Linked DNA regions of Struthio camelus. The protein of the gene in region 1 interacts with the protein of each later gene in a pairwise test. Links are inferred from orthologs where the notes say so. Each region holds a gene or a part of one and is shown in the gene's direction. Other genes may lie near its edges.

Evidence for each region.
Region 2: the proteins of KCNA3 (region 1) and CAV1 come close enough for resonance energy transfer, tested with the Homo sapiens proteins (2 studies listed by BioGRID). The link is inferred for Struthio camelus from reciprocal best matches to the Homo sapiens genes KCNA3 and CAV1.

The regions. Positions count from the first base shown.
Region 1 is NC_090965.1:4,565,429-4,571,927, reverse strand, and holds the start of KCNA3 (potassium voltage-gated channel subfamily A member 3), read left to right. Parts: upstream 1-1,974; 5' UTR 1,975-2,133; coding exon 2,134-3,879; 3' UTR 3,880-5,482; intron 5,483-6,499.
Region 2 is NC_090942.1:29,186,621-29,193,119, reverse strand, and holds the start of CAV1 (caveolin-1), read left to right. Parts: upstream 1-2,902; 5' UTR 2,903-3,195; coding exon 3,196-3,225; intron 3,226-3,432; exon of another isoform or gene 3,433-3,579; intron 3,580-4,101; coding exon 4,102-4,266; intron 4,267-6,499. UniProt on the Homo sapiens protein: May act as a scaffolding protein within caveolar membranes. Forms a stable heterooligomeric complex with CAV2 that targets to lipid rafts and drives caveolae formation. Mediates the recruitment of CAVIN proteins (CAVIN1/2/3/4) to the caveolae.

The DNA.
Region 1 (6,499 bases):
GTCTTGAAGTGCTACACACATGTACGCGGTGCGCAGCTGATGGCTGTTTCATGCTCACGAAACGCGCAGGAAATAGCTCCTCGCGCTGGGATGCCAGCAGTCGTTTCGAGGAATTTTCCTGGCTTTCCTAACCTACAAGCAACGCCGGTAGCTCAAGGGTTAATGATCAGCCCAGGCTGTGCTTCCTGCCCTGTCCGGGGGCTGGGAAACTTGGGAGATGCTCCGGGTTGAAAGGGAGGAGTGCTTGCTCTCGCTGGGAGCACATCCCGGATTTGCGCTATTAATTGCGGTAGCAGAGACGGGGTGAGCGGATGGGGATCTGTTGGCCCAGCTGTCTCCTCCAAGGCCAGCTTGCAGCCTCGGATGAAACGGGCCTCCATGGATGGGGTTTAAAGCCAAGGATGGAGGTGACAACAAGGGACATGCATCAAACTCCATGGCAAGGTGCACGTCCCCGTGCAAGCAGGATCGCAGGGGACCGTCTTCGCAGGGGAGCCTGCAATTTTCCTGGTGGTGTAAAAAATTGCCATGCTGGGCATGCTGTCCGGAAAGAGCACCAGGGATGATTTTGGGAGATGCAACCGCCACGGGCGGCTTAGCCAAAGGCTCTGCTTGGCCTCGGCGCCGCGTGGGAGGCCCACCTTGTCAGCGGGACCCCCTCGGTGTGCCTAATTCCTGGGAAACCTGACGGGTGGGCGCTGATGCCTTGGGACAAAGGGTTTTTTTCCCCGCGTCGGCTCTGCCAGCGTCGGTCCGGCGTTCCCGCGCCCGGTGCGGAGCCAGCTCTGGCGGCGCTGTTTAGTGTTGATTTTCCCCCGTGCTTGGCTTCTTTTATGGCTTTGTATATTTTGTGCAGCTTGTTGCTAATTTAAAGCATAAATAAGTTTGATCTTTTCATCTGTTTCTCTCCCTACCTTCTGGAGGCTGTTCTAGTTAAAAATAACCGCGGTAATAAGCCGGAGTGGGGCTCCAATCTGCCGGAGCGCTTCTAACCTCCTTCGCAGCGGGACCACCCGGGCGACGCAGGGAAGGCGGCGCGGTCGGACCTCTCACACCTCCCTGAGCCTCGTGGCCGGGCTTCTTCCCGAGCGGGTAATTCCCTGAATTGCCCAAGCCCTGTTTGGCACGTGCCTTGGGATTAGAGGGCTTTGGGAGAGCGAGGGGTGGGTTGGGGAGAGCTCTGGGGGCAAATCTCACGGGGCCGGAGCGTTTGCACGAGCCGTGCTGGGTGCTGGTCGCCGCGGTGGAGGCTTTTCCCTTTAAAAAAAAAAAAAACCCTTTCATCAAAATTGATCGATTTGCATAAGATCAGTTCAAGGAGGTGGTGGGGGGGGGAATGAAAAGCCGTTTGGCTGGCTCGGGGAGGGGGGGGGGAAACGCTGAAAGGCAGATCTGCGTTTCAGACTGCGACTGCCTTCAGCTGCGATCCGACTGCGCTTCGCTCCTCCGCTTGTTTGGCTGCGGGGAGGCACAGGCACACACGCGCACACACACGCACGCTCTGTCTCAACCTCTCTCCTATGCAAAAAAAAAAAAGAAAAGAAAAGAAAAGAAAAGAAAATCCCTCCGACTGTAGCTGAAATGCTGATTCAAAACAACTGTTGGCTGCTCTCTGAGGCGCTGTCTCTGCTTCCCGTTAGCCGCAGCCGCGTCCCCGAAACGGTGACCCGCAGCGGACAGGCAGAGCCGAAGCGCCGGCGTTAAAAAATAAAAAAATAAATCACATTTTGGCTTTCCCCCCGGGGTGGGGGGGGGGGAAAGCAGGAAAACTCCTTCTAGGCAGCGCCGCTGCCAGGAAAAAACTCTTCCCCCCGCGCGACCGGCGGCCGCGGAGGGGAGACGCGGGGGCCGGGGGGCCGGGGGGGCCGGGGGGCCGCGGCCGGCCGGGGCGCGCTGCTGGGGGTGGCTCCGGCGAGCGAGGCGGCGCCAGGGCTGGGGGCGGATTTTTTGAGAGGAGCCTCCGCTGCTCAGAGCGGCAGCGGGCGCCGGAGGAGTCGGGCGGTTGCTTCTCCCTCTCCGCCCGCAGGAGGACGAGGAGGAGGAGGAGGAGGAGGAAGAAGAAGAGGCGCCGCCGCCGCCTCCTTCCTTCCTTCCTTCCCCTCCGTCCTGCCCGACCCCTTCTCCCCCACCTTTATGGACGAGCGCCTGAGCTTGCTCCGCTCTCCGGCTGCCTCCTCGGCCGGCCGGCCCCCGCGGGGCAGCGCCGCCAGCAGCCACCGCAACCTGGGCTACAGCGAGCAGCCGCCCGCCGCCCGGCAAGAGGAGGACGAGGGCGAGGAGGCGGAGGAAGGCAGCATGACGGTGGTGGTGGCGGGGGGCGGCGGCGACCCCTTGCCGGAGGAGCCGCAGCATCCTCACCCTCTGCTCGGCGGCGACCGCTACGACCAGCCGCCGCCGCCGCCGGGCGCCGCCGCCGCCGCCGGGCACCCCGCCGCGGGCGGCGAGCACGAGTGCTGCGAGCGGGTGGTGATCAACATCTCGGGCTTGCGTTTCGAGACCCAGCTCAAGACGCTGGCGCAGTTCCCCGAGACGCTGCTGGGCGACCCGCGCAAGCGCATGCGCTACTTCGACCCGCTCCGCAACGAGTACTTCTTCGACCGCAACCGGCCCAGCTTCGACGCCATCCTCTACTACTACCAGTCGGGCGGGCGCATCCGGCGGCCCGTCAACGTCCCCATCGACATCTTCTCCGAGGAGATCCGCTTCTACCAGCTGGGGGAGGAGGCCATGGAGAAGTTTCGGGAGGACGAGGGCTTCATTCGGGAGGAGCAGAGGCCGCTGCCCGACAAGGAGTTCCAGCGCCAAGTGTGGCTCCTCTTCGAGTACCCGGAGAGCTCTGGGCCGGCCCGAGGCATCGCCATAGTCTCTGTCCTGGTCATCCTCATCTCTATCGTCATCTTCTGTCTGGAGACCCTGCCTGAGTTCAGGGATGATCACGACTATGAGGGAACCGGGGGGACCTTTGGGACGGGTGGTGGCCCTTTCCCACCTGATGTCTTCACCAATTCCTCGTCCTCGGCTGCTTCCATGGTGTCGTCCTTCACCGACCCTTTCTTTGTGGTGGAGACTTTGTGCATCATCTGGTTCTCTTTTGAGCTGCTCGTCCGCTTCTTCGCCTGCCCCAGCAAGGCCACCTTCTCCAAGAACATCATGAACATCATTGACATTGTGGCCATCATTCCCTACTTCATCACGCTGGGCACCGAGCTGGCCGAGAGGCAAGGGAACGGCCAGCAAGCCATGTCCTTAGCCATCCTTAGAGTCATCCGCCTAGTCAGGGTCTTCCGCATCTTCAAGCTCTCCCGGCACTCCAAGGGGCTGCAGATCCTGGGGCAGACCCTCAAGGCCAGCATGCGGGAGCTGGGTTTACTCATCTTCTTCCTCTTCATTGGCGTCATCCTCTTCTCCAGCGCCGTCTACTTCGCAGAGGCCGATGACCCCAGTTCGGGTTTCAGTAGCATCCCCGACGCCTTCTGGTGGGCAGTGGTGACCATGACCACAGTGGGCTATGGGGACATGCACCCCATCACGATCGGGGGCAAGATTGTGGGGTCTCTCTGTGCCATCGCGGGGGTGCTAACCATTGCTCTCCCTGTGCCTGTCATCGTCTCCAATTTCAACTATTTCTACCACCGGGAGACCGAAGGTGAGGAGCAAGCCCAGTACATGCACGTCGGCAGCTGCCAGCACCTCTCGTCCACCGAGGAAATGAGGAAGGCTCGCAGCAATTCCACCCTCAGCAAGTCGGAGTACATGGTGATAGAAGAAGGGGGCATCAACCACAGTGCATTCAAACAGGCTACCTTTAAGACAGGCAACTGCACAACCACAAACAATCCCAACTGTGTGAACATCAAAAAGATCTTTACGGACGTTTAAAAACAAAACAGAACAAACAAACAAACAAACAAACAAAACCCTGAGGCTGCGTTGCAAAACAACAACAATAATAATGCAAAATGACTGTGTACTCAGTGTTGTGTGGAACATGCACCATCGTCGGTCCGTGTGTGCCCTTGGTTTTATACGTTTCCTTTTTTTTTAGATTGTTCCTTTCTATCGATCATAAAAAGGAGGATTTAAAATGCTCCGAAGAAAAGAGGACGGGTAAAGGGTAAAGGCGAGGAAGACGAAGGCAAAACACACTCACCCTGGAAACAGGTGTTTGTTCTGCAACGTGTGGCAGGGCTGCTTTTGTTTTCTCCTTTCTGGGGACGTCTTGCTTGGCTTCTGTTTTGTTTTGTTTTGTTTTGTTTTTGTCCTCCCCCTTCCCTAAAGGCAGTGTGTAGCTGTTTTCCCTTCCATCACATAAGCTCACTTGTTGGATTAGCAACCGCGAGTTGGGTGGGGAGACGAGAAAAACATGTTGCGGAGCTCGTTGGAAGGAGATGGGGGTTGGGAGGAAAACGACCGCTTAATTTTGCAAAGAGTCTCTGTTACCACATTGTTAAATGATGCTTAATATCGAAACATGTGGTGTGCCATTAGGGGCGCATCCCAGATTCCCTTTTCTCCCCTTCTAGATCTTTTTTGAAATTCTAATCTGGCCGGAGAGCGAGTGTAATCACTTCTGATTTAAACAGCACGAAGAAACAAAAAAAAAATTCCTCATTTTCTATTCCTAACTCCCTTCCCCTGCAACCCTACGGGATTATTGCATCCGACAGAAAATTGCTGTCCGCCCGGCGAGCGTGAGCACGGGGCAGGGGGAGACGAAAGCGCAAGATTTAACGCTCGCGGCGAGAGCCCGGGGCGCGGGGAGCGGTGCCGGCGCGGAGCCGGGGCTGGCGGCGGCGGCGGCGCGCTCGGCACCCGAACCCGCGGGAGATTTCCGCCCGGCTGCGATGCAGTCGCGGGAGCGGCGGCCGCTTCATCGCCAGGAGATAAAAGCGGCCGACGGCGCCTTGCAGCGGAAGTTGCTAATTCGGACCGGAGTGATGCAGTTGCCATGGCGACCCCGGTTTCCTGGGAAACCCCCGAAGGTTGTCATGGCATCCCGGCTGCCAGCCCCCTCGGCGGGTGCCCTTCCCGCAGCCGCCCTTCCAGACGCTTCCAGCTCCCGCGGGACGGCCGCGACGCCGGCGCGGAGCGGGTGCCGGCCCGAGGCGGGCGCTCCGCACCCGTTGCCCGGCCCGCCGACCGTCCCGCTCGGTCCACGTCCCCCGCCGCATCCGTTTGTAGGCAATAAGCACGCCAAAAGTCCACCTCGCCCCGGCCGCCCCGGCGACGCGATTTGGGAAGCGGCGTCTCTCGATGCAAACGCAAGCGCCCGCCGAGCCCGAGCGGCCGACCCACGTGCGAGCGCGAGCGGCGCCGAGCCGGGGATTGCCGCCCAGCGACGCCAACCTCTCCAAACCGCGGGGGAAACCCACGCAGCCGTAAAGAGCAGCATTGCAAAGTGCCCCAAACCCCGCCGGGGGAAACCATGCCCGCTTCATCCTTCCTTACGCGCCCGGGGCCGCGGGACGTCAGACAGGAGCAGGTGAGCTTCGCCCGCGGCGCTTAACGCCTCCTAAGGTACCATTGCTTTTTTGGGACGGACCTGATGTCTTGCCCAGTTTTGCATCCGACCGGGCTGCCCTCATGTATTTATGCGCCTGTTGGGTGGAGTGCAACAACACCCTATGTCTCCTCTGATTAACCGGCTTTTCCCCCCCTCGCCGTCGCTCGCTCCGGGCGGGCAGAAGGGGCGGCAAAGCCGCGCGGCTCTTGGCAGCCCCGTTTTCTTCCGCTGAAAAGGTTGCTGGCGGCGTTTCCGCCGCGAGCAGGGCCGACCGGTGCTCGCGGCGCGGGCTGGGGAGGCAGGGCCCCGCGCCGCGGGTGCTCGGGCGCCGCGCACCTCTCCGGCTCGGCGCGCCTTTGCCCTTGCTCTGCGGTTTCTCGCTAAGTGCAAACAGATTCCTTCGCTGTAGCGAACCGCGCGGGAACGCCGGGAGATGCCTCTTCCAACAAAAGAGCAACTAGACTCGTAACCGAGGTGAGTCACACGTTTAGCCGAGCGTGCAGAAAGGGAGGATTTGTCCCGGGGAGATCCTGGCCGCGCGGAAATCAGAGCTGAGCCGGGATTTTAGCCAGACTTAAAAGGATCAGAGCAATTCGTAACATGTAACGCTCGCCCTTAGCCTCGTCTTAGCCCCGCTGTCTTGCTCAGTTAATAAAAAAAAAAAACCCTTATAACCGAGCAAAACACCGGGGCAGCTCCTCAGCTAACGGTATCTGACAGCTTTATTGGAGCTGCAGTAGTTTACAGAGGCTGAAGATCTGATCGAATAATCTTTATTAGTTGGATGTGCTGGAGCTTTGCCACGGCGGGAGCTAGCAGGCAGCTCGCATCTCCCGGGCAGCCTTTTCCAGGGTGGCAAAGGTGGGACCCGCAGCCGGGAGACCTTTTCCGAATAACCTCCCGGCGGGTTTTCACCCGCGCCGGCCTGGCTGGGTTGTCCCGCCGTGCCTCTCGCCCCGCTTCTGCCCGTCCTGGCGGAGGCTGCGATGCTTTTGC
Region 2 (6,499 bases), on another chromosome or scaffold:
TCTCTCCCACATGTTGGATTAATCTTCTAACCATCAGGCTATTGTCAAATGTTTACTGGCAACAGTACCCCCATTTAAAAGGAAATCATCAGTTGCTAGAGGTTGTGAGAAGGAAGGAATGTGAGGGGATCTCTCTGTCCTTGATAAAACTACTCCTTTGACTCAAGGACCGAATAGGCCAGATAAAAAAAATACCTATGTGAGAGCACTGTGTAAATTCTATGAATTGGTGGTGAGGGGCACCCACCCAAGTGGAACAGTTCAGATCCAGTAACTTAAAATTTAAAATATAGAAAGCCTGCTGAGAGTGAAGACTGACCAGCCACCATGAATCCTCCTAGTCTGTAAATCATGGAATGAGGAAAGCATCAGGCTTCATTTTAAACCCATCCCAGTGCTTACTATCACACAGTAGGGAGAGAGCAGTATCACAGCAGATAAAAGCTCATTACCAGAGGTTCTGGCATCTCAGGCTTTCATCCAACTCCCAAAAATGTGCATAAAAGGATGCACTTAAGCAGTCAAACAGAAGACTCCTAAGAGCATCAGTGATCTTCTAATTTTCTGAGTCAGAAAGAAGAGCTGAGCCTGAGTTTTGTAAGCACTCTGCATAAGGAAGGCTGCTTGCTGACAATCTCTCTTATCTGACAGCCTGGATGCTGTTGAGACTACACATGAAGAGAACAGTTTCTCAGGGCTGATTCTGATCTTGCTGACATTGGAATATATTAGGAGTATTGCTAATACTGGAATTGCAATAATTGCACAACAAAAAGGAGCAGGGGACGAGATGTGCAGAGTGGAGTGAGAGGGAGCATTTGATGCCAGAGACACTCAATGAGCAGTCATGCACATTTAGTTCACTCTTATGACTCATTTTCTGACATTATTGTTTGAGGAATTTCATCCAATCCAACTTTTGTGCTGGCTTTTTAAAAGAAATATTTCCTACGCATATCAAAAGCTTTCTCAAAATGGGAAGAACTGCTCACAGCTTGCACATAGACGCTTCTCCATGTTTACAGTCAGTTCTGAATCCTGATGTTTGAAAATTCAGTTAAAGCAAAGCTTTGGAGCATAAAAAACTTTTTAAAATTAGGCATAAAATGCCTAAAGCTGGTGTGATGGAGAACGAAGACAGGCAGTGATGTGGCCAGCTAAAGTAGCATATATCAAGAGGTGACCTGGACAAAGCTCAATGAGAAGACTGTCTGGGTGCATTTTTCATACAACAGGCCACATAGCAATGGGCTATGATTTTAGTCTCTGCAAACATAACTCCCACACATTCACAACATGTTAGTACCTATGTATGTACCTATCTCTGTAGGATGTTTTTGTAATATTCAAGCTCAAATAAGCACTTCTAAGGTTCATCAGATGTGACAGATCATTTCTGCTGGTAAGTAGCCTGTTCTGGGGTTTATCTCACAGAGGTATAAATTTCACCAGCTTCCAATATTCCTCTAGCTGCACTAGGGCTGTGTGATTCAGAATTTTTTTTAAGGGTGCTGCAGTTCTGCAGAAACTATTCCAAGACCAGAGTAGCATTTCAAGCTAACAAATACATCCCTTAATTTAGTCATCCTTGAGGTATGCAATAATACTGAATGATGGGTCAAAATCTTCTGATGCACATGCAGGAAACTAGCTAATTAAAAAACTGTCAGCCTATAAATCAAAGACCTGTCTTTCTTTAGACAGGGTGAAAAATTTCACTGAGATGATGTCCCTCAGTTCACCCATGTGACTTTATGCATACACTGAAATGTCTGGAAAGCAGAAGATATTTTAGTGATGGCTTAAGCGAATTATTGCATCAATAAAGTCACTTTTAAAAATTACAACCAACTTGGAAAGTTGGAGAACATCCACCTCAGAAGTATTTGTTTTAAAGTTTATGAGCAACAGAAAACTTTTAAAATTCACTGCTAATGGATGACCATATCAGTAATACGTATCCACAGAGACTGCATTCTTAACAGGTGCATTTATTACATTTGTGCAGCCTACTTCCATCTTAGCCAATGGCTTGTTGCGGTCCTTTTTCTGTTGAGTTGCCAGAGCCAAATATAGTGCAGTTTGAAATTTTCTACTTCTCTTGTTGCAATTCTGTGCTAAATGGCATAACACTAACCCTACTTTATTTTGCTGTTAATGTGACAAATCTTACACTATAAGCTGATTTCCTAGCAGAACACTGATGGTTGCAAGCACCAAAAAATGCAGGGCTATAACTAATAGTTTATAGATGTGCAGTGCCATTGTAACCCTAACCTGAACCGTCTTGAACGCAGCGAAGGACCCTGAGAGCTGTTACACCGACACATGCACCAGAGCTTATAGAGGGCCTTCAGAATAGAAGGCAAAGAGAAGGCATGGCAAAGAGTCACAGGGTCCCACCATGCCTTTTTAGAAGTAGAGTGCCAGTGGTTAATATGCATGGCAGACATGCATGGGTCAGTCTCCTCCTAGGAAAAATATTGTACAACTCAAGTGCAGGACTGTTAAATATTTGCATAGTTTTGAAATGAACCAGTCGGGAAAGTCTCCTTTTCTTCAACCCAAGGATGTCCAAGTTTCCACAATTGTTCCTGGGGCACTAATGGCTATGTGTAGACTGCTGTCAAGGCGGGGGGCGGGGGGGAAGGGGGAGGAAGAAAAGTCCTGCAAACTCACTCCTTGCTCCGCTCCGGACTTGAAACACAACTAAAGTTTTCCATCTCCTCACTGCTTCCTTGCTCCTCGGCGGCTCTGCCGCATCCAGGCACGGCCGCCCCCAGCCCGGGGGGACCCCGAGGCGTCCAGGGGGGCGGCCAGGGGAGCAGCTGGGGCCGGCGGCCGGCGGGACCAGCTCCGCGGGGCGGGCGGGGGAAGCGCCGGGCGGCGCGGCCGGGCCCCCGGCGGCCCGGCGTGGTCCCGGCAGCCGGGGCCGGGGCAGCCCGCTCCCGGGTTGCCGAGGGCTGGGTTACTTTCCCCTCCCAGCCCCGGCCGCGCTCGGGAGATGCCTAGCCCTGCCGCTGCTGTCATCCAAGCCAAACGCAGGGAACAGCCCCTGGCCGGCGGCCAGCTGTCTCCCGCGCAGCTACCTCCCCCCTCGCTAGCTGTTTTACAATACGGATCTTCCTTCCTCCGGTCGTTCAAATTATAGCACAGAGAAACCTGAGGCAGAACCGCCACCGAGCCCGGGGCAGCATGTCCGGTACCAAATACGTAGACTCGGAGGTAGGGCTGCCGGGGCCGCCTCAGACCCGCTCCGCCGCCGCTCCCGCCGGGCGCCGCGTACCTGCCGCAGCGCCGCTGCCCCGCGCCGCCGCGGAGCCGAGCGGAGCCGAGCGGGCTGCTCCGGCACGGGGGCAGCTCGCCGCCGCTTCCCGCCGCGCACGGCCTTGCGGGGGAGCCGCCGGGTGCCGGCTGCGGCGGCGGGGGGCAGCCCCGGGCGGGCTCGCCCCCGAGGGCCGGGTCTGCAGCCGGGGCAGGCGCCGCCGCTGCCCGCCCTTCTGCGAGCGCCGCGGCGAGGGCGCGGTGTGGCGCGGAGCCGGGGCGGTGCGGTGCGGGTACTGCGGTGAGGGCGGTCAGGTGAGGGGGCTGCGGTGAGGGGGCTGCGGGGGGAGTGGTAGGGTCAGGGCGGCACGGCGAGGGCGGTAAGGTGAGAGCGGTATGATGAGGGCGCTGCGCGGGGTGACCCGGCGCGGCTCGGCTGCTGCAGGCTCGGCGCTGCCGGCGGCGGGGGCAGAGCCGCGCTGCGCCCCGGGCAGGGGGGCACGGGGGGCCGGGGCAGTCGAGGTGCGGCTCGGGGGGAGCGGCGGGCAGGCCGGCGGGCGGCGGCCGGGGCGGCGCCCCGCGGGGCGTGCGGGACGCGGCGGCGGCGGCGGCGCGGTCACTCCGCGGGGCGCGCTCGGCCTGGGACGCCTGGCGGCGGGAGCGGGAGCCGGAGCCGGAGCCAGCGCCGCGCCTGGTACCGCGGGGGGGAGCGGGGCGGCCCCTTCGGCGTTTAAATAGCCGCGGCGAGAGCCGCTCCCGCCGCTGCGCGCACCGCCGCGGGAGCCCCGGGCCGCCGCCCCCAGCCCGCCTCTTCGCCTCGCCTCTCCCTCTCCTCAGGGCTTTCTGTACACGGCGCCCGTCCGGGAGCAGGGCAACATCTACAAGCCCAACAACAAGATGATGGCAGATGAGCTGAGCGAAAAGGTGGTGCACGACGTGCACACCAAGGAGATCGACCTGGTCAACCGAGACCCCAAGCACCTCAACGACGACGTGGTCAAGGTGAGGCGCCCCGGCGGCGGGCTCGGGCACGGGGGGTGATGCCGCTTACTTCGCAGCAGCTGCCCGTCCTGCCAGCGGCACCGGATTTGCGGCCGTTTCCAGGGCACGCTCCGGCAGCTGCCCTTGAGCCGCTCCCCTCCACCTGCCGCACAAGCGGAGGGGGTGCTGGATTTTTTTTTCCTTTTTTAAAGGAAAAGTGAGGGGGAAAAGAGCGCAGCAGGCTGCGAGCTGGGAGCTCTCCCCGGGCTGACGCCGCTGCAGCGCGGCCGGGCGGCCCGGTCCGCGGGCGCGCAGGGCCCGGCGCGGCAGCGCGGTGCTGGTGCGCGGCCGCGCGGGGGCTTACGGCAGTCCCCGCGGAAGCGCGGCCCCGCGCGGGGCTCCGCGCCCGCAGGTCTGCTCTGCCCCGCGGCGTCCCGGCCGGCGCTGGGAGAGTGGGGAAGAAGCTGCATGACCTTATGTAACACTGGCAGAAGGATTTTCCTTCCCTCAGGCACGTATAAAGGCAGGGCAGGGAGGTGGCACCAAACCCGCCTTAAGCAGTGCAGCTCGGAGCTGGCCGCACTGCTGGGTACGGCCTCCAGGACCCACACAGATTGCCCTCCCTACGCCAAGCGGGTGCAAAATAAGAGGTCCTGGTCATAGTTTGGGTTTGTTTCCTTGTTTTGTTTTCTTTTTCCTGGTATTTTTCCCTCCCGATAGAAATGCTAAAAGGAAACAGGCTAAGCAAAAACTGACTGCCCCCTTGTCTGGATTTTTTGGTCGGGTTTTTAATTCAGAGCTTGACTGTTTCAACAAATCTAGGTCAATGGAGATTTTTTACTTGAAGTCACTTTGGTCAGAAAAATCATAAAGCTGTTTTTTCCCTTAGCAGAGCAATTTTATACTACACATGTGAAGGCTAGGGGTGCTGTCACCTAGGTTTGTCAGAACTTAGGAAAAACAGGAGTCACCCAGTCACAGCGTGAAACTAATCCACTTACTGGCTCAGTTAGGGTCCAGCACAGCACAGTCCTAGTTCACCCAATCCCTTGGTCAGGAAGAACCATCACTGAAAAATGGAAACATCGTATTCTTTCCAGAGGATGAAAAGATTGACCTTGGTCCCTAAATGTGTGTGTCAGTAAAATGATTCATGCCCTGTGCATACAATATAATACGGTCCCAAGTATCCTCAAATTCTGCTGACTTCAGCACAATTTGAAGGTGCTGTGCATAATTAGCCCTCTTGTCGGATCAGCCCTAAAAGTTATTGCACAGAGCAGGCTATATATTTAAGGATCCATTGGATTCGAGGTCTAGAAAGAAAAAGAGTAAAGTTTGCATTTTTTTAGGGGAAAAAATGGTCTGCAAAAGTGCCTAGTAGTACAAAACTTCTATTAAAATGGCTAGTTTTAAAAAGGAGAGAGTAATTCTTTTTTATTCTAGCCATGGAAGAGCAGCAGAGTAGGCAGGGAATGCAAGAGCTGAGAAATGAGACGGCATCACAGCTCATTGCATACAGCAACTGTAGAAGTCCCCAGAGCAACCAAAACTTCTGAGAATGAGTCATAGCCCCCAGGCAAGTTGGAATCTGGGTATCCACAAACTTAACTAGAGAAAGAAAGATCCTGCTGGGAAAGAGGGACCACTGATGGAAAAAACTCCTAATGGACTTAAAGGAGCCCAAAATGTATAAAGCTTGTCCAGCCCCCTCTGCCTCCCACAGGGGCAAAGTAAGCATTATAGGGATGAAAAAAACAAGGTACCCAGTTTGTTCCTTCAAAATAATCGTGGACCAACAAATGCATTCATTGAAAACAGCAAACACCCCGAATACCAGTTCCGCCTCTGTATCAGCAAGGGAGTTTCTGGTAGTGAGAGTAATAGTCACATCAAGACGCAGAAAAGTATCCAAATGAATTTGATGTTTACCAGGCCGGATCCATTCTGCATTGTAACAACAGCAGCATTTGTAAGAAGTGTGGACATTGCAAAGCAACATTTTTCTGTCTTGTTACAAGGACAGTTAAGAATGATTTTGATATTCATAAGCATTTACGAGTATTTCACAGATCGGTCCAACCTGAAAAGTCCAGAGAGAATTTTGCCACAGTTCTAGTTTATTTGGGTACTATTTTCAAATTCATTTTATTAGAAGTAGCCATAAAGTTCAGATCCAGTTCCTTGTGGACAAACTCTGATTAGGGTGAAGAAATAAAGATTCTGCTTCTGCCTTAGCCATCAGTCTGTGCTC